Linked DNA regions of Sus scrofa. The protein of the gene in region 1 interacts with the protein of each later gene in a biochemical or structural test. Links are inferred from orthologs where the notes say so. Each region holds a gene or a part of one and is shown in the gene's direction. Other genes may lie near its edges.

Region 1 (4,057 bases):
CCTCTCCTGTGACAATAACTCAACTGCTAAGTCGCTGCGTGGCTTAAAGCAAACAACCTGACACAGCAGTATTAACCCTAACCCTAACCAGTAGGCGGAAGCCACCCACCCCAAGCATCCGTCGACAGATAACCGGATAATCAAAATGAATACTCAGACGCTGGAATATCGCTCAGCCTTAAAAGGAAGGCAGTCCTGTCACCGGCTCCGGTGGATGAACCTTGAGGATCTCAGGTTATGTGAAATACACCAGTCACAAAGGGACAAATACGGTAGGATGCCACTTACGTAAGGCACCGAAAACGTCAAACTCACAGAGACAGAGAACAGAATGGTGGTTGCCAGGGGCTGAGGGGAGGGAGGAATGGGAAACTATTGTTTAATGGGGGCAGAGTTCACGTTTCGCAAGATCAAAGTTCTGTGTGTGGATAGTGTGACGGTCATACAATAATGTGAATGCATTTAATGCCACGCAACTAGACACTTACAAATGGCTAAGATGGTGAATGCTATGTGTATTTTGCTGCAAATTTTAAAATTGATAATAATAAACCTGAGAAAACCCCTAGCTCAGTGAGAAGTTTACAGTTGGTGCTCAATAAATGTCAGGCCCCTTCGTCCCACTCCCTGGTGTGATACCCACCTTGGAGAAATGCAGGAAAAAAATCCCTCTCTCCCCAATGTTAATTACCGCATCTCCTAAAAAGAATTTTTTCCTGAAGTAGGAGAGAGAAACTGGCCTTTTTTTTTTTTTTTTTTTTTTTTTTGCTTTTCAGGAACACACTTGTGGCATATGGAGGTTCCCAGGCTAGGGATCAAATAAGAGCTACAGGGGACGGCCTTCAACCACAGCCACAGCCACACCAGATCCCAGCGGCGCCTGAAACCTACACCACCGCTCACCGAAAGGTCAGATCCTTAACGCACTGAGCGAGGCCAGGGATGGAACCCACATCCTCATGGATCCTAGTCGGGTTGGTTAACCACTGAGCCATGAAGGGAACTCCCTAGAGACGGTGGCCTTTGTGGGAGAGCTCCCCCGAGCTCCTTCGGTCACCCCAAACTCCTTAAGGCAGCTCTGGGTGGCACGGTACGGAGGCTGGGGCTAAGCACCCGAGTCAAAGAGAGCAGCCTCTCCACGGAGCAGTCACACTACTTGAGGCCACTAGACAGAGAGACTTGGAAAGGAGCGCAAAGCAAGGACTGGATGCTGCGGAGCCTCTGAGCCATCCTAGCCCCGGGGCGCTGACACTGGCCGAAGCTCAACGCGCCCGCCTCCCGCCTTCCGCCTCCGCCCCTTCCCTCCCCTTCCTTTCAGACTTGCGCTCGACGGGAAATGCGGGAAATCGAAAGTGAAACTTGGAGCCAGCTATTATCTGCGGAGTCCCTTGAAAAGGTGAGTGGATTCACGAACTCGGTTAGACCCGGGTACCCCAGGCCTCCCCGGGGGACCGCTCTCCGCTGCCCCGGATCTGAAGAGCCCCTTGCAGCCGAGCTCTCTGCTGCCCCAGAGCCCTCTTGGGCGCAGGGTTCCCTCGACCCTAACCGGCGGTTTTCCCCGTGCTGCCGTCCGCCCGGGAGGAGGCTGGGCTGTGAACCGACTTCCAAGTCCTCCGGAGCCCAGGGCGGGGTAGGCCTGCCATCCCCGAGACGCCCATCCACAAAAGTCCCCTCTGGAAACGACAGGGGCAGGGTTGCTTAGGGTATTAGAAGTTTTGGGGTCTGTGCCCTGGAGGAAACAAAGACAGGTGCCTGCTTCAGGAAGCTGAGGGAACAGGTGGGGGAGTGCTCTTTAGACATGTGTGGGTGTGTGGGTGTGTCTGTGTGTGTGTACACACATAGGTATGTACACCTGCACATATGGATAAATATGTGCACGTGCAGATGTGTGTGTATATATATACTTATTTATATGTTCATATTGTGGGTGATAGATAGCTCCTTCCTGCCAAGTTTCAGGGATTAATGAGGAGGAATGTGAAGTATGTGCCTCCCGGCACGGGGGAAGGGGCATGGTAAGTGGTCGCTGCTATTAGGATTAGCTTCTCAGCAGAGCAAGAGGACCAGTGGCTGGAGATGGAAGATGGACGAGTAAGCCTGGGCGCCGAGGGTTTCAGCAGAGATAGACATGAAAGTGGAACTGTAAGCAGCTTGATCTCAGATTCCCAGCAATTTTTGCTATCTCTTTTGAGGACTCAGTTTCCCCTTCTGTCTGACTGGCTCATTGGACCAGACTCCGGAGGAGAAGCCCTTGTGACTCAGGTTGACGTCGTTGTTACCTTTGTTTTCAGCCCCTCCAGTTCACGCTCCCTCGAGGTCTCCTTTGAATTGTTCTGTTTTCCTCACACAGCTCTTCTCATCGCCTTCTTTCCTTTTCTCCCCTCCCCGCTAGGCCACCCCGAGATCTCCTCAGCGCTGCTTCATAGCCCGGCAGCACCATGGCCTCAGCACTGCCCTTGGCAAGGATGTGGGATGAGGTCACGTGCTCCATCTGCCTGGATCCCATGGTGGAGCCCGTGAGCATCGAATGTGGCCACAGCTTCTGCCAGGAATGCATCTCCGAGGTTGGGAAGGATGGGGGCAGCGTCTGTCCTGTGTGCCGGCAGCACTTCCTGCTCAGGAACCTCCGGCCCAATCGGCAGGTGGCCAACATGGTGGATAACCTCAAAGAGATGAGCCAGGGGGTCAAGGAAGGCCCGCAGTGGGAGCTGTGTGCGGTGCACGGAGAGAAGCTTCACCTGTTCTGTAAGGACGATGGGAAGGTCCTTTGCTGGGTGTGTTCCCAGTCCCGGAAACACCGGGACCACACCATGGTCCCCATTGAGGAGGCGGCTCAGGAGTACCAGGTGAGGCCTTAGCCCGGAGGCACCTGGGCACGAGCAGGCGGGAAGAAGGTGGGGCCCTGATAAGCGCTTTGTTCTCCCGGGCTGGGGGTGGGACCGAGTCACCTGTGGAGTTGAGGGGTTGGGGACAGGAAGGGGATCCCCTGCCTTCTATGTCCTATTTAAGGGAAGACCCACCATCTCGGCACGATTTTCCCACTGCCCAGGAGCAGGGCGTCTGTTGTGGGAAAAGGCTGCAAGGCCCATGCTTCTGTGTGGCCTCCTGGTTAATTAGGAACGAATGTGTCCCCACCCCCACCACGCCAACAGGGTACCTCTATTTCCTAAGAAACATCAGGCTTTTTCCAGAGTCTTCCCATCACAGAATGCCCACCCCGGTCAGAGGCTCACCCTTCCTCCTCCCCGCCTCAGGCTTTTCTAAGGACCAGTAGGATCCTCCTGGACCTTGTGCCCCCCCACCCTACTTTTTGGTCTGACTGGGCATTACCCGCTGTCTTTCTCTGCAGGAGAAGCTCCAGGTGGCACTCGAGAAACTCAGAAATAAACAGGAGCAGGCTGAGAAGCTGGAAGCGGATATTGCAACGAAGAGAGCAGCCTGGAAGGCAAGGGGCACGTCCTGAAGGGCACTTTAGATCAGAAGCCTGGGGAGGGTCCAGGGTCCTGGCCTCGAGAGCTCTGTGCATAGCTATGCCCGTCAGGAGACTGGGAGTCCCCATGTGTCAGTCTCCAAAAACCAGCCGTGCCCTGGGTCTCCTGAGAGAAGGGAGCAGGAAAGCACGGTGCCCAAAAGGCGGGCACTCCAGTCAGACGCAAAGACAGGGGGTCTTGGGGAGAATGCACGGGGACAAGACGGACCCCAAAGCTCCTGTTCCTGGAGCCCGGTCTCAGGCGATGACAGCACAGGGCCCGTGTCTGCAACAGAGGAGTCCCAGGAAGGAATGCCCGGTGGCTCGGCCTGTCGGGACATGACAAGGGCTCTGAGGACAGACTTAAGGAGCCATCAAGGCCTGAGGGAGGAAAACCAGCCTGACCAGGGGTTTCTTGACGGCGTGCTGTTCCTGGTGCAAGGTGTCGCGGGAGCTACGGCCTGTTCTGCTCCAGGGCTTGGGCAGCAGTGGGTCAGGAACTAGAGACAGTGGGAGGAGCTCATGGACCCGGGAAGGGTGAGTCAGGCTGTGGCGGCAAGAGAGGTCATCTCGTGTCATCACGTCCCT
Region 2 (4,102 bases), on another chromosome or scaffold:
TTAGGACTGCACCTGAGGCATATGGAGATTCCCAAGCTAGGGGTCGAATCAGAGCCGTAGCCGCTGGCCTCCACCACAGCCGCAGCAACCCAGGATCTGAGGCTAGTCTGCAATTTACACCATAGCTCAGGGCAACACCAGATTGTTAACCCACTGAGCAAGGCCAGGGATCAAACCTGCGTCCTCATGATGCTAGTCAGATTTGTTTCCGCTGAGCCACGATGGGAACTCCCATCCCTTTAAGTTTTACTGACTTCCACAAACCCCACCATGAAAAAAGTGAGTGTGACTCAGCAGGTCTGACTTTCTACCTACAGAGCCCTACTTGGGAGGATTCATAGGGTGACATACCCGCCTGCTTACCTTCTTCTAAGGCACCTCCTCCCCCAACAACCCCCTTCCCCTAGGCACTTTGAACAGGTCACTTCGGTTACATAAAAGAGTGTTTCTTGGCTCCTGGGGGTGGGGTAGGGTGGGGGCTGTTGATGTAATCCCTGGGCTGCCCATGAGGCCAACAGACCTGAGATCTTTCAGGCCATTGGGCACCATTTGCTGAGCTGAACCTTGAGCTGACAAGTGGGGATGGATGGGGAGTACCGATGGGGAGTCCTTAGGGCTTCAGTGAACATTTGGTGGCCACTGAGGCTCCAGGAAGCCTTAGCAGACCCCCCAGCAAGGTGGGGATGGGAAGATCCTGTGCTCTTCTGGCATCTCTCAACCCTACCCCCTATTAAACTGGAAGCTCCTCTGGTGCTCAGGTTTGAGTTGAGTGTCTGTGCTTTAACCCAGTAAAGGGCCATTAGGGGGGATGCTGGGGGCGGCGTAGTGGGCTGCCACCTGAGAAACTGGTGGCAAGAGCGGGCCCTTGACAAGAGTGGCAAGGTCAAGACAGCGCCTCGGGAGCCAATTTGTTGTAGCTAGCAGTGTCAGCAGTGTCCCCTCTTCCTGGCTTCCAGCCTCTGTTGCCCACCTCCCTCCTGAGCTGTGCATCCCCGGTGGCCTGGGTTCCGTTTTGCTGAGTCACGGCCTGGTCAGGCCTGGGAGGGGTCTAGGGCGGGACCCTGGCCGGTCCCTTGCCCCAGGTATAGAGGTAGGCGCCAGACTTAGATGTCAGCGTGCGGGGCCGGCCTCTTGGTGTCCCTGGTGCACTTGGGGCGGTGAGGAGAGGGGTCGGGAATGAGGGGGCTCAACGGCGGGGAGAGGTAGCGAGGCTGGGGCTCCTGTAGGGCGGCTCTCGCGCGACGGCCGGGGTGGCTGGAGCCAGACCTCTGACACTCAGGCCCCGCCCCCAGGAAGCGATGAGGGGCGGGGCTTCACCCGCGTTCCCTACAAAGGCCGCGCGTCCCCTCCCGCTGCCGCCGCCGCCGCCGCTACCACCGCCGGGCTCTTCTCTTGCTCCCCAACTGGTGGTCATGGCGTCGCTCACCGTGAAGGCCTACCTTCTGGGCAAGGAGGATGCGGCCCGCGAGATTCGCCGCTTCAGCTTCTGTTTCAGCCCGGAGCCCGAGGCGGAAGCCGAGGCCGCGGCTGGCCCCGGACCTTGCGAGCGGCTGTTGAGCCGGGTGGCCGCCCTGTTCCCCGTGCTACGGCCCGGCGGCTTCCAGGCGCACTACCGCGGTGAGCAGGCCGGGCGCTCTCGGGGAGCGGTGCGGGGCCGTGACGCAGTGCTGCCCTGCCGGGCAGGGTCGCTGCTCCCTTCCTTCTCGTGGGGCTTGGGGCCGCCTGCGGGAGTTTGATCGCTCGTTGGGTGGGCGGTGGCCCGCGTGGGTTCCCATTTCGGCCTTGGGTGCCATTCTGGTAGCCAGGAGTGGTGACCACAGCCAGACCTGTGGGGTCAGGCGCTGCCAGTCCCCTAGCGGATCGGGCCCGGCGACGTAAGAGGCCTCCCCTCCCCCCACCATGATGGTGCAGATCTTGGGGAGGGCGCGCGGGGGCGTCCTCACGGCGGGCACGGGGTGGTTAGAGGGGCACTCGGGTTACACTGCCACTTGGCTACTGCCCAGCTGGGGCCCGCTAGCCCCAGATGGGGGGTTCGGATAGTAACCCGGAAGAGCCTGGGCGGGCAGATGAGGGGGAAGGGCTGGCTACGCAGAAAAGTGACGAGGGTAAATAAGCAGTGGGGAGCCCTCAGGGCTGCACAGTCTGGCCGGAGGTGGGGAGGAGAGACCATAGGTTGCCCAAGGCCAGGCGGGATCCAGACGTTATCCCGTTGGCAGCGGACAGAGGGACAAGGTGAAAACATTCTCGAGAAGTGTTGGTGTAGGGACAGAGCTCACGAGCCTGCCTAGTTTCTAGCTGAGCTGGCGTGACCGGTGGCTGCGCGGGGTGGAGTTGGGGGAGGTTGTTGTGACTGGGAGGGAGGCGGGCGGACCAGGCCCGCCGGTGGGTGGGGCCGTGCCGGGACCTCCCTCAGGACTGCTGCCAGCTCGCCAGCCCCTAGCTTTTTCAAAAAAATAACTTTGAGTTCCTGTTCACATACTGTAGTTTAAAGTGTTGAGTTTTTAGTATATTCACAGATTTGCGCAGCCATTATCACAATCATCTGGGAACATTTTCATCACTTTATACACCAACTCTGTTAGCTTCCTCCCATCCCCATCATCCTATCCTCCAATCCCCAAGCGACCCCTAATCTCTATGGATTCCCCTATTCTGGACATTTCATGTAAAAATATGTAGTCTTGTAACTGGCATCTCTTATTTACATACTATTTTCAAGGTTTACTTATGTTGTAGTATGTATCAGTACTTAATTCCTTTTTGTGGATGAATAATATTGTCTTATGGTCATGCCACATCTTGTTTAGCCATTCATTAGCTGATGGGTGTTTAGGTTGTTTCTGCCTTTTTTTTTTTTTTTTTTTTTTGTCTTTAGGGTCACACCGGAGGCATATGGAAGTTCCCAGGCTGAGGGTTGAATCAGAGCTGCAGCTGCCGGCCTACGCCACAGCCACAGCAACACCAGATCTGAGCTGTGTCTGCCACTTACACCACAGCTCATGGCAACGCCAGATCCTTAACCCACTGAGCGAGGCCAGGGATTGAACCCACATCCTCATGGATACTAGTCGGGTTTATTTCTGCTGAGCCACAACGGGAACTCCCTATTTCTGCTTTTTGACACAGTCCCTGATTTTATGGTAGATGTTGTGTTTGGTGGTCCATAGACCTGACCTGGCTTGCACATGTATTGTGTGGTTGGTTCTGTGTGGTGGTGCTTTAAATCATTTCAGCTGACATCTAAAAGTTGGAGGCTTCATACAAAGACATAATTTTAGCTTCGTTGGGGAGGAAGCAGGAAGATATATTCTACTTTCCTAAGCCACAAGAGGTCCAAGAATTTTGGAGGGGCTGGAACGCCAAGGAGCCAGTTGCAGATGGGGACCTCCCACAGTTGACAGGGTCTGGTTGGATGTAGATGGAGACAGCACCTTTCTGACAGAGCAGCTGGCCCAGAGGCAGAGTGGCAGGTGGCTGGGTGCTACCACTGCTGCCCACTGCACACAGGCACTCCACCTCCCAAGTGTGCCTGGGCCCAGCTTGGAGTGCTCACCTTCCAGGCAGTGGCAGGGTGAATGAGAAGTTCGGCCCCAGCCCTGCTTGCCCCTGGCTCACCCAGGTGGGCGTCAGTTTATAGCCCTGCACAGGCCCCTTTGGCACTGGCCTCAGTCCTTTCAGCAGCTTGTGTCCAACTGGGTGTTGATGCGCTGTCTTTTAAACATTCTAGATGAGGACGGGGACTTGGTTGCCTTTTCCAGTGACGAGGAACTGACGATGGCGATGTCGTATGTGAAGGATGACATCTTCCGTATTTACATTAAAGGTAAGGGGCTGCTCTGTGCTGAGTCAAACCAGCTTGAGGTCATGGAGAAGTTGCTCCAAAGAAGGGGTGAGGAGACTATGGGCCGTTTAAGGCAGGGCCGGGATCGTCTCTGAGGAAGGGTCCGTGTCCACCATGGTGGGGAGGTCAGAGGGTCTTTGGGTTCCCTCTTTATTGTGCCTGCGGGCCAGCTTTGGGGTTGATTTTAGTGCCGGACAAGTCTAAAATGGTGCAGACGCAACTCCCTGCTGCCTCACGCCGGCCAGGCTGCACATGCCCAGG
Region 3 (3,512 bases), on another chromosome or scaffold:
GGGGCTGCGTGTAAAGGAGCAGCGGAAGGGGGTTGAGTCCGAAGTCAGTAAGAAGGCTTTGTGGGTGCCGCGCTGGCTGAGGGCGATGCCGGTGGGCCACTCTGGAGCCTGTCCCCTGGCCCCTGGGAAAAGGAGGAGATGGGTCCCCAAGAGCCCCTTTTGCTCTTGTCCCTCTGCAGCTGAACGAGGGCCGCACCCTGGACATGGATCTCGTCTTCCTCTTTGACAACAGCAGAGTCACCTATGACACCCAGATCTCCCCACGGCCCCAGCCCGAAAGCGTCAGCTGCATCCGTAAGAATGGCATGGCCTTTGAAAAAAATAGTCACTTAGAGTGCTTGAGATAAGCCCTGGACCTCGGGACTCCCCCACGCCAGAAGATGGGAGTTCCCATTGTGGTGCAGCAGAAATGAATCCAACTAGTATCCATGAGGATATGGGTATGATCCCTGGCCTCACTCAGTGGGTCAGGGATCCAGAAGGCCTTCTTTGTTAGAACACATGAGGAGGTGGCCCAGCGAAGAGGAAAGGACATCGATCTTCAGTTGATTTCAGCCTCATTTAAACAGAGGACAGGGAGTTCCTGTCATGGCTCAGTGGTTAACGAATCCGACTAGAACCAGGAGGTTGCAGATTTGATCCCTGCCCTTGCTCAGTGGGTTAACGATCCGGCATTGCTGTGAGCTGTGGTGTAGGTCGCAGACGAGGCTCGGATCCTGCGTTGCTGTGGCTCTGGCGTAGGCCGGTGGCTACAGCTCCGATTAGACCCCTAGCCTGGGAACCTCCATATGCCACAGGAGCGGCCCTAGAAGAGGCAAAAAGACAAAACAAAAAACAAAACAAAACAAAAAAACAGAGGACAGAGAATACTGCCCACAGGCCGCTGAACTTGAATCACGTGGCCATTTTTTTAATTTGTTTTTTTTTCTTTTTAGGGCCGCACCCACTGCATGTGGACTTCCCAGGCTAGGGGTCTAATCGGAGCAGCAGCTGCTGGCCTACGCCAGAGCCACAGCAACCCGGAATCCACGCCATGTCTGAGACCTATGCCACAGCTCATGGCAGTTCTGGATCCCTGACCCACTGAGCGAGGCCAGGGATCATACCCATATCCTCATGGATACTAGTTGGATTCATTTCTGCTGCGCCACAATGGGAACTCCCATTTTATATTTTAATGATGAAACATTCACGTGATACCAACAAATCAAAACGCACAGAACATACAGTGAGAGTTCCTGCTGTGGTGCCATGGGTTAAAGATTTGGCTTGTCTTTGTGAAGACACAGGTTCAATCCTAGCCCGGGCGTTGCTGCAGCTGTGATTTAGGTCAGCTCCCACTCAGATTCGACCCCTGGCCTGGGGATTTCATATGCCAAAAAAGAAAAAAAAAGAATATACACTGAACAGTAAGCCCCCCCACCTCCTGCCCAGTCTCCCCAGTTCCGTGGCCTCTTCCAGGAAAACCGCTGCTCCCAGATTCCTGGTCTACCTTCCGCATGTCCTGTGCATCTGTAAATCAAAATGGCACAGGGCACAGGGTGTCTGAGACAGTAACCAAGCCTAATACCCGACACAGTCGTGTCAGGGCAGAGCGGTTACATAACCTAGCGATGTAGACGTGGCAGTGGCCGGGCTCCGCAGGCAGGATGCGGTGTGTCACCGGCATGGCTCCCTGACAGTCATGTGTCTCTGTCCAGTGCAAGAGCCCAAGCGGAACCTCCCGTTTTTCCAGCTGAGGAAGGTGTGGGGCCAGGTCTGGCACAGCATCCAGGCCCTGAAGGAAGACTGCAGCCGCCTGCAGCAGGGACAGCGTGCTGCCATGTACGTGCCCACGGTTTGGGCTTTGCTTATTCAGAGCTGCCTGGTGGCCCTGCCACAGGGCAATGGCCAAGGCAGGGGTCCAACTGTTGGGAGAGAGACATAGGGTGGGGGAGGTGGGAAGGGGTTGGCCCGGCGAGGGTCAGGGGGATGCTTGAGGAAGGCCCTGTGAGACCCAGTGGGGTGTGTGCACTCAGCACAGTCGCAGGAGTGTAAGTGGGGCCACCGGGAAGCCCTCGACAGTTTGGGTCATCAGCCCTCCCCTGCCGTCGTTCCAGGACTGGCTCGCTCTTTCCCCAGGATGTGGCTTCTCTGGGCCACTCTGTGTGTACTTTGCCTAGTTCCAGTTTTGAAGCAGAACCCCAGGCGTTGCTCAGAGCCAGGAAACTGACTTTATGGTTATAAGTGGCTGCTCTTATTATAATGATGCTAATTATAGCAGAGCCTGCTGGTGGTGTTCGGGTCATTTTGTTATTGTACGGGAAGTGGCGCTCAGATCCCACAGGCGCCCCAAGCTTCCGTTTCTCATGGCCGCTGCAGGATGAATCTGCTTCGGAACAACAGCTGCCTGTCCAAGATGAAGAACTCCATGGCCTCCATGTCCCAGCAGCTCAAGGCCAAGCTTGATTTCTTCAAAACCAGCATCCAGATTGACCTGGAGAAGTACAGCGAGCAGACAGAGTTTGGGATCAGTGAGTGTGCCCTTTACAATAAGTCTGGAGGGGAGTTCCTGTTGTGGCACAGTGGAAACAAAAGTGACTGCTATCCATGAGGACGAGGGTTCGATCCCTGGCCTCGCTCAGTGGGTTAAGGATCCAGTGTTGCCGTGAGTTCTTGAGCAAGTCATAGACGCAGCTAGGATCCCACACTGCTGTGGCTGTGGCCTAGGCTGGTAGCTATAGAGCTCATTCGACCACTAGCCTGGGAACTTCCATGTGCCTCAGGTATGGCCCTAAAAAAAAAAAAAAAGTCTGGAGGGACAGTCTCTTTCTTTTTTCTTTTTCTGAGGTTTCTTTTGTCCTCTCCTATTTGAGTTGCTTATCTCTGTTTTGGATTGTGGGGGTGGGGGTGTTTTCATTTTGTTTTTCATTTTTCCCTCCTTTTTTCCCCCAGCATCGGACAAACTGCTGCTGGCCTGGAGGGAGATGGAACAGGCCGTGGAGCTCTGCGGACGGGTAGGCAGGGCCCCCAGGTCCGAGGCCCTGCCCAGGGTACCAGGCTCTTCACTGCCATCTTCCTCTTTCTCACTGAACCCTGGGTCGAGCTTGCATATCAGAAATTAGCTTTTCCAGAGTTCCCAGTGTGGCTCAGTGGTAACCAACCTGACTAGTATCCATGAGGACTCAGGTTCGATCCCTGGCTCTGCTCAGTGGGTTAAGAATCCAGAGTTAGGAGTTCCCGTCGTGGTGCAGTGGTTAACGAATCCGACTAGGAACCATGAGGTTGCAGGTTCGGTCCCTGCCCTTGCTCAGTGGGTTGACAATCCGGCGTTGCCGTGAGCTGTGGTGTGGGTCGCAGACACGGCTTGGATCCCGCATTGCTGTGGCTCTGGCTAGGCTGGCGGCTACAGCTCCGATTAGACCCCTAGCCTGGGAACCTCCATATGCCGCAGGAGCGGCCCAAGAAATAGCAAAAAGACAAAAAAAAAAAAAAAAGAAATCCAGAGTTGCTGTGAGCTGTGGTGTAGGTCA
Region 4 (4,301 bases), on another chromosome or scaffold:
TGGTTCCCAGTCGGATTCGTTAACCACTGAGCCACAACGGGAACTCCCCTCTTCGTTTCTTATTCAGGTTTCTGACCTGTATCATTTTCCTTCTCTCTGAAGAATCTCTTTGAACATTTCTTTCAAGGTATGTCTTTTGGAAACAAATTCTCTCAGTTTTTGTTTGTATGAGAAAGTCTAAATTTATCTTTCACTTTTGAAGAATAATTTTGTAGGGTACAGAATTCAGGTTGATTTTTTTTCCCCTTCTGAACACTTTAAATTTCACTCTGCTCCACTTCCATGGTTTCTGAGAAGTTGCATGTAATTTTCATCTTTGCTCTACTATAAGTAAGGCTTTTTTCCTCTCCTCTGGCTTCTTTCGAGATTTTTCTTTATTTTTGATCTTCTGTAGTTTGAATATGATATGCCTAGGTGTAGTGTTTTTTGGAACTATTCATGATTGATGTCTCTGACATTAGCATTTTACATTAATTTAAAGAAAATTGCTGTCCTTATTGCTTCAAATATTTCTCCTATTACTTTCTCTTCCTGGTATTCCCATTATACATATGTAACACTTTTTTATAGTTGTCTCACAGTTCTTAGATATTATCTTTTGGGTTTTTTTTCCATTTTTTTTTTCCCTCTTTGCATCTCTGTTTTGGAAGTTTCTATTAACATTTCCTTAAGCTCAGAAATTCTTTCCTCAGCTGTGTCCAGCCTACTGATTAGCCCATCAAATGCATTTTTTTATTTCTGTTACAGTGTTTTGGTTCCAGCATTTCTTTTTGGTACTTTCTAAGAATTTCCATCTCTCTGCAGACATTGCCCATCTGTTCTTGCATGTTGTCTATTTTTTCCATTAGCCCTTTGCATATTCATCATATTTATTTTACATTCCTGGTGTAATAATTCTAACAACATTCTTGCCATATCTGAATCTATTCCACTTTATTATTATGTAATGCTCCTCTATATCTCTGATAACTTTTATTGCTCTGAAGTCTGCTCTGTCTAAAATTAGTAGAGTTACTCCTGAATTTTTTTGACTGGTGTTAGCATGGCATATCTTTCTCCATGCCTTTATTTTTAATTTACGTATGTCTTTATTTATATATGCATGCATTTGGTCACACCTACAGCATGTGGATGTTCCTGGGCCAGGGATTGAACATTGCTCTGGCTCTTCAAATGGTGTCTGTCTTTTGCCTTTTAGTATGCCTTACAAGTTTTTCTTGAAAGATGGACTTGTACTGAGTAAAAGGAACTGCAGTAAATAGGCCTTTAATGATGTGGTGGTTAGGTGTGGGGGAAGGGAAAATGTTTTATAGTTTTATGATTAGGTGTCAGTCTTTTGATGAGCCTGTGCTGCTGGGCTGTGAACGTCACACGTGCTTCTCTGTTGTTGTGGGTTTTTTTTTTTTTTTGCCCCACTCCCCCCCCTTAATTGGAACAAGATGCCTAGAGGAGCAGGAGTTGCGTATTTCGCTTCCCCAGTGTAAGAATAGAGCCAGCTGGGGCTGGGCATTTCCCTTCCCCTAGGTCAGTTAGGCACAGATAAAATCCCAGCAGGTTAGGCCCTAGAAAATAGCTTCTCCTGCAGGCGGACCTTGTTAAGAAGTGAGTGCTCTGGCACATTTCAAGGTGGTTCCTCTTCGGCTCCTTCTTCAGGAAACACAAGAAGATTTTCCTCTCAGATCTCCACTGTGAGAGTCTAGTAGGGCTCCTAGAGGCAAAGCTCACAAAGTGTGGATTCCTCTGGAATATTTAATTCTCCGATTTGTCTACTCTGCGGCTCCAGCCACCTGTCAAATACAGTTCAGCTTTCCTGACTGCGGCACTGGTTCCTGAGGAGGTTTCTGCTTGTGGGTTTCCGCTCTGGTAAGTTGTGATTTTCTGTGTCTCCCTGTCTCTCTAATGTGAGGGCCCGAGATTTGCCCTGAGACCTTCGTTCTCTCATGGATTTAAGAGTGGGTGATTTTTCAGTTTGTTCGGCTTTTTCTTGTTTTTAGAATGGAGGAATGACTTTCAAGCTCCTTCCAGGCCAGACCAGGAACTGCACCCCTTTTCCTTTTTATAAAATGATACCTGAGTGATATTTTCTGATCCAGTGTAGAATTTAGTGAAAACGTCTACATTCTGGTCATTGTTGCTATATTATTCCCTTCCGTTAATCCTTTTGGGCTATAATTGTTTCCCCAAATACTTTTTAGCTGTTAACAGTCTAGTTCTTTCCTCTGTTTGTTTTTCTTCAATTCCACTCCCACTCTGTCTTGGAGTGCTAACAACCAGTACCACCCATGTGTGCCAGTTGGGTCAACATTTAAACAAGGATGTACTGTTTACACTGTTGTTTCTAACATTCTGGTTGCAAACACCGCTTTGTGCTTTGTGAATTGAATTGGTGACAGGTGAAACTTAGGCTGATGGCAGAGAATTTGGGGTTATAAATGATGGTTCGAAGCTAGATTTATTTCGTTTTCTCTAAACCTATTAAATCTGTCCAGGTTGAAGCTCACTTGTATTGTATGCACTCACATTACGTAGAGAAATGGCTTTCAGCCTTGCCTTTGTAATAGATTCACTGGCTCTATTTCTATTTAATTGGTCTAGATGGGTCCTGGTATCAGTATTTCTGAAAGTTCCTTGAGTAATTCTACCATGCAATTTGAGGTAAGTCCATTGGTCTGTAGCAATGGTCAGCAAAACTTTTCTTTAAGGAGCGGAGAGTAAATATTTTAGGCTTTGAAGATCATTTGAAGATCATATATTCTCTACTGTAATTACTCAGCTCTCATGTAGCCGCCACAGGCAAATGGGCATGGCTATGCTCTAACAACTTCCTTTCTAGAGACCAAAATTCTAATTCATATACTTTTCATGTGTCATGAAATATTCTTATTCATTTGATGTTTTTTTTCAACTATTAAAAAATATAGGAGTTCCCGTTGTGACTTGGCAGTTAACAAACCTGACTAGGATCCATGAGGATCCCTGGCCTTGCTCTGTGGGTTAAGGATTCGGCGTTGCCATGAGCTGTGGTGTAGGTCTCAGACACGGCACAGATCTGACATTGCTGTGGCTGTGGTGTAAACCAGCAGCTGTAGCTCTGATTCAACCCCTAGCCTGGGAACCTCCATATGCTGCGAGCGCAGCCCTAGGAAGAACAAAAAAAAAAAGTACAGATTGGTTTTGTCTTACAGGATTTACGATAACAGTCTGCAAGTGGGATTTGGCCTAGGGACTGTTGTTTGGCAGTTCCTAGTTAATGGTTTATTTTCTTCACTGCTTCAATTTGGTTCCAAAAGAGAAAATGTTTCCTTAGTTACATCACTGATAATATCTTCAATGAATCCCAGAACTGACTACTTATTTTAAGTCAGTTTATCAGAACATTTTTAAACATGGCAATGCATTTCCTTATTAGGCTCTGAAGTTGTGGCCATTGAGATGCTTTTATCTATGAGTAACAAGCATGGCTTAAAAGGCTTTCAACAGTAGGAAAGGTATTATCTCATTAAAATAGAGAGAATTGCAGGGCTATTGTTATTTGAAAATGTCATCAGCCCAGATGTTTTCCATCTTTCATTCTACTATCCTCAATATTAGTCCTGCCTGATGTCTTGCCTCATGGTGGCAAGATGGCTGTAGTAGCCCTGGGCATCACATGCAGACTCACAACATCCAAAAAAAACAAAGAATAATTCCTTCCTTGAATTTATTTTGAATGTGGGGCAGTCTATTTTTAGACCAAGGCCCTCCTCCTATGTAAATCTCCCCTTAAGTCTCAAGGACCAAATCAGGCCCTGGTGAAGGAATTGAGATTACCATGATTACCTATCATGATGCTTGCCTTGGCTTCAGGATCTGGTCTGCCTTTCACAGGTGGCCCCAGGATCCCAGAATCAAATCAGGGTTCTGATAGCAAAGGAAGAGGAAGAAATGGCAGTGGGGCAAAAAAAAAAAAAAGTCTCACACAGAACTAGATTGTTAGGATTAAAAAAAATAAGGCGGCTGTCTCCTAAACTCCTCATTTCCATTTGTTTATTTACTTCCTTTAAAAGACCATTAGACAATTGTTGAGTACAATTTTCCTGAAAGATAGCTTATTGATTTTTCACTCAAGTAGGTTACATTTTGCTTCAGCCTTCAAAGACATTTCTATTACTCCCTTCAGATTACATTTAAAAAGGAATGTATCCGATTTTGGCTTACTTTGTTCTTTTTCTAAACCTGTACCACGTTGTGTGTGTAGCATAAAAATGTCCATGTCAAAAAAGGTTTAAAAAGAGTCATCACTTTTTTCTTTTCATTTTGAA
Region 5 (3,512 bases), on another chromosome or scaffold:
AGCATAATGTGAATGTCCTCTGGGCTTCTCTGTCCCTTTTTCTCTATGTTCCGTTCATTTGACTAAGGAACCTGGCTGATCTGCTAAGATATCTTTGAATGTTAGGAAACTAGGAACAGAGTGCTTTGCTTGATCAGGTTTCTTCCTAAATCAGCCTGGAGAGCTTGGCCAGAACAAAAGGTATGACCAACCAGTTTTAGTGTCCAGCCCCGTTGATGGTTTATTGTATGCTTAGTCTTCTGGCTTTATTTTCTTTTATCTCTAAAGAAAGATAACAAGGACGTTGGCAATCTGTATAATTTTAATAATTTTAGCATTTCTTTAAAGGTAGTAGTGAAAGGCTTTAAGATAGCCTAGCTTCTGTGGTGATGCCTAAGTAGAAAGGCAGTGTTGATGCAGAAGACTTGCTGGCTACTCATCTGGATCTCACCATACACTGTTTCTGGAGGGACACCTCTGCCCTCCATGATACCTGCTCCTTCCAGCTCATTTCCTACCTTTTGCAGAGCACCCTTGTCACCCCTCCCATTTTTCCTTTGCAGTACCGCGTAATTGTGCCGCTAATGGGTGCTGTATCTGATCTGTGCGAGGCTCTCTCCAGGTTGTCTGGCGTTGCTGCAGAAAACGTAAGGCGGGGTATTGAGTGGCACTCAACCTATTGGGAGCACTTCATAGTCCTTTGAAATTAATTTTCAACCTTTTAGCCACTTATTGGAGGGTAGTGATTATATTTGGATGCCCCAGACTTTCTGGCTCTCGTTCATTGTGCACACTGTGGCTGAGACTGTCCCTTCCAGCCCTGGGAACTGAGAACACATTAACCATTGGTCAGAGGGCCAGGAGTGGGGCTCTGCTCTCACATTGCCTCCCCTTTATACCTGACATCATTTGTAATGTGAGAAGCCGGAAGTTCTTTTCTGACTCAAACTCCGTAAGTCTGTGGAGTGACTTAATAGAAATGTTTCTTTAAAAACAATTGCTTATTCTGGCCTATCTCCTGAGCCTGGCCCTGTGTGGAGGTGGGAAAAGTGAAGATTTCCCTTTACATGAGAACCGATCCTCCTGGATTCCCCCAGCCCTGATCAATGAATGCCCTTCTCCCCACTCCCCTTGTACCCCTGCTAGTTTCAGTTGGTAGGTCTTGGTGGTTGGAGTTTGGTCTTTTCTGCTGTGTGCTGAGGATGTCTTGAGGACTTTTGCCCCCTGGGAATACCCTAAAGGCTTCTAGATGACTACTAGTCTCTGGTCAGCACTTATTCCCCATCATTCCTGCCCCTTGAGGGCAATTCCCATCATAAACCTTGGGACATAATCAACTGTAATTAAAAAATTAAAAAGACAAAGTAAACCCCAAAACCTTGGGATCAATGTACTAGCATGTTTGATGCTGGAGGCAGCCATGCTGCTCCCACCTTGGACCTTGGCCCCTGAACTCTGGGCTGGTTGTATTGCCATCTCTCTGGAGGCAACACTTCAGCAGCACATTTTTTTTTTCTTTCGTGCCTAAGTATTAAGTAGATGTTCTCTAATCAATCCCGTCACCTTTCTGTTACTGTTGATTTTTAGATGGTGGTCACAGATGTGTATAATCACCGGTTCCACAAAATTTTCCAAATGGATGAAGGTTTAAACCACATCATGCCTCGGGATGATATTTTTGTGTGAGTACTCAGTGGTTTCTGCTGCAGGGTCAAAAGAAACGTTTTAGAGTCTTTGCTGTGTTGGTGTCTCCAGAGCATATCTGGCAGTTGATGCTCATGTGGATTTGCTCCAACCCTTGGGTGCAAGAGATGAGTGTTCAGGGAATTGTGGGCAGCATTACCTACCGGCATTTCAGAACTAGACATTCCAGATAACACTCTTCAGCTGGAACAAGGCTTTTGTCAACAGTTGTTACATGTTAAGAAGGCCTATTCAGTGGTCCTGCAGATAGTCCTGCTGTCAGAAATGCTTTGCTCAAGAAGAATCACAGCTTTGGGAGGGGCCGTGGGAAGACAGGAAAAGGGCTGTGGTACAGGGAGGGTCTCATCCTTTCTCTAAGCTATAGGCAGGGGCTCCTCAGGCAGGTGCCATCTCAGAATGACAGGGAAGGTTGATTTAAGCTCTCATATCTGCAGTCTTTTGACACTTGGTTTTCTCATCCCTGTGCAGACAGTGTACTCCAACTCTAGCTGGTGTTCTCCAGTTCTTACTTCAGGGCTGCTTTGTGTGATTGTGTGTGTGTCCCTCTCCCAGGCGGGGTAGGGTGGAGTGTGAGCTTGCTCGAGCTCCCACACAGCCGCTTGTTCAGGGAAGCTTGCATATGGACCACCCCACACTGTCTCTCCTTCATTCCCTCTCACTCAGAAACTTGTCTCTGCTGAGAAAGGTTATTAGGATTTTGTTTTGGTTTTTAGTTTTGGCTGAGTAATGCAGGACACAAAGGAATCATTTCCTTCCCTTTATGTTTTTGGGACCTGTGACATCTAGGTCACTCTAAAAGATACAGTTCTTGACCACATCCAAGATCCTGGTTCTATTAACCAATGCATCGGCTGCCTCCCCATTCCCAGCCATACTCCCTCACTTTACAAACTAGACTCAGGCTCGGACTAGACTTCAGGGCTGAGCCTATCCACTTCTGACCCCCAAATCCTTAACACAGTCTTCCTCAATTCTGGAAACTAATGTTCACGTATACCTGAGCTGAGAAGAACTGGGGCATCATCTTTTTGGGAGCATGGCAAGCCACTGAGAACAGATTTTTCACAGGGCTTGAGGGATAAGCAGTAGGAAAGCAAATTGTTACGTGATGCATTGATAATTGTCTTATGAAAACACAATTGTTGCATCTAATACTTCTTGAGCATGTGATGTACTGTGCTCTGAGTTATTTAATTTTCACCACTACACTCTACGGAGGGTGATCCCATTGTCCACTAGGTAAACAGAAGTTAGGGCACTTGGCTTGGTCACAGTAGCCAGAAAGTGGCAGTATGGGCCTAGAACCTGGGTCAGCCTCACTCCAAGGCTTGGTTCTTGACCTTTATGCTGGACTCCAGCGTTCTTAATCTCGAGCACACCTTGGACATTTTTGTGAGATTTTCTTTGAACTCCTCATGCACATACTACAGTCAGAACTGTTTGCCAGGCAACTGGGGAGGGTTGTGTTTGTATTTGTGTTTATAGTTTTCAAAAATTGAATCAGTAAGTTTGTGTCTCCCCCTATAGGAAGAGGGAAAGACTACAGTCGGTTGCCAGCAATTTTGGTAACATCTGTTCCAGGATAAAACATCTATAAATCTCCTCAATCCCATGTATTCACTAAGTAAGACATATTTTTCAAAATCATTGATTTGTATTTAGAAATTCTTTGGTTATCTATGATTTTTTTAAAAATTAAATATGATTCTTTTACTTCAATGTTTTTGAACGAAGATGGCAAACAGTTTTATAAATTTGCTTCCTCATTTAAAATAAAGAGTTTTTGGCTTATATTCTAGGTATACATCCTTATAAATGAGAATGCCTTT

What was found.
Region 2: the proteins of TRIM21 (region 1) and SQSTM1 form a complex in vitro, tested with the Homo sapiens proteins (2 studies listed by BioGRID, with this or other methods). The link is inferred for Sus scrofa from reciprocal best matches to the Homo sapiens genes TRIM21 and SQSTM1.
Region 3: of the proteins of TRIM21 (region 1) and IKBKB, one has a biochemical effect on the other in vitro, tested with the Homo sapiens proteins (2 studies listed by BioGRID). The link is inferred for Sus scrofa from reciprocal best matches to the Homo sapiens genes TRIM21 and IKBKB.
Region 4: the proteins of TRIM21 (region 1) and ubiquitin-conjugating enzyme E2 N-like form a complex in vitro, tested with the Homo sapiens proteins (3 studies listed by BioGRID, with this or other methods). The link is inferred for Sus scrofa from reciprocal best matches to the Homo sapiens genes TRIM21 and UBE2N.
Region 5: of the proteins of TRIM21 (region 1) and USP4, one has a biochemical effect on the other in vitro, tested with the Homo sapiens proteins (2 studies listed by BioGRID). The link is inferred for Sus scrofa from reciprocal best matches to the Homo sapiens genes TRIM21 and USP4.

What each region holds. Positions count from the first base shown.
Region 1 is NC_010451.4:5,780,884-5,784,940, forward strand, and holds the start of TRIM21 (E3 ubiquitin-protein ligase TRIM21), read left to right. Parts: upstream 1-1,249; 5' UTR 1,250-1,396; intron 1,397-1,423; exon of another isoform or gene 1,424-1,630; intron 1,631-2,392; 5' UTR 2,393-2,438; coding exon 2,439-2,846; intron 2,847-3,349; coding exon 3,350-3,445; intron 3,446-4,057. UniProt on the Homo sapiens protein: E3 ubiquitin-protein ligase whose activity is dependent on E2 enzymes, UBE2D1, UBE2D2, UBE2E1 and UBE2E2.
Region 2 is NC_010444.4:78,761,195-78,765,296, reverse strand, and holds the start of SQSTM1 (sequestosome-1), read left to right. Parts: upstream 1-1,298; coding exon 1,299-1,617; intron 1,618-3,727; coding exon 3,728-3,823; intron 3,824-4,102. UniProt on the Homo sapiens protein: Molecular adapter required for selective macroautophagy (aggrephagy) by acting as a bridge between polyubiquitinated proteins and autophagosomes.
Region 3 is NC_010459.5:11,331,826-11,335,337, forward strand, and holds part of IKBKB (inhibitor of nuclear factor kappa-B kinase subunit beta), read left to right. Parts: intron 1-179; coding exon 180-294; intron 295-1,700; coding exon 1,701-1,824; intron 1,825-2,361; coding exon 2,362-2,513; intron 2,514-2,934; coding exon 2,935-2,996; intron 2,997-3,512.
Region 4 is NC_010443.5:26,024,317-26,028,617, forward strand, and holds the start of ubiquitin-conjugating enzyme E2 N-like, read left to right. Parts: upstream 1-1,491; 5' UTR 1,492-1,863; intron 1,864-4,301. UniProt on the Homo sapiens protein: The UBE2V1-UBE2N and UBE2V2-UBE2N heterodimers catalyze the synthesis of non-canonical 'Lys-63'-linked polyubiquitin chains. This type of polyubiquitination does not lead to protein degradation by the proteasome.
Region 5 is NC_010455.5:31,866,370-31,869,881, reverse strand, and holds part of USP4 (ubiquitin carboxyl-terminal hydrolase 4), read left to right. Parts: intron 1-542; coding exon 543-626; intron 627-1,566; coding exon 1,567-1,661; intron 1,662-3,210; coding exon of another isoform or gene 3,211-3,280; exon of another isoform or gene 3,281-3,307; intron 3,308-3,512.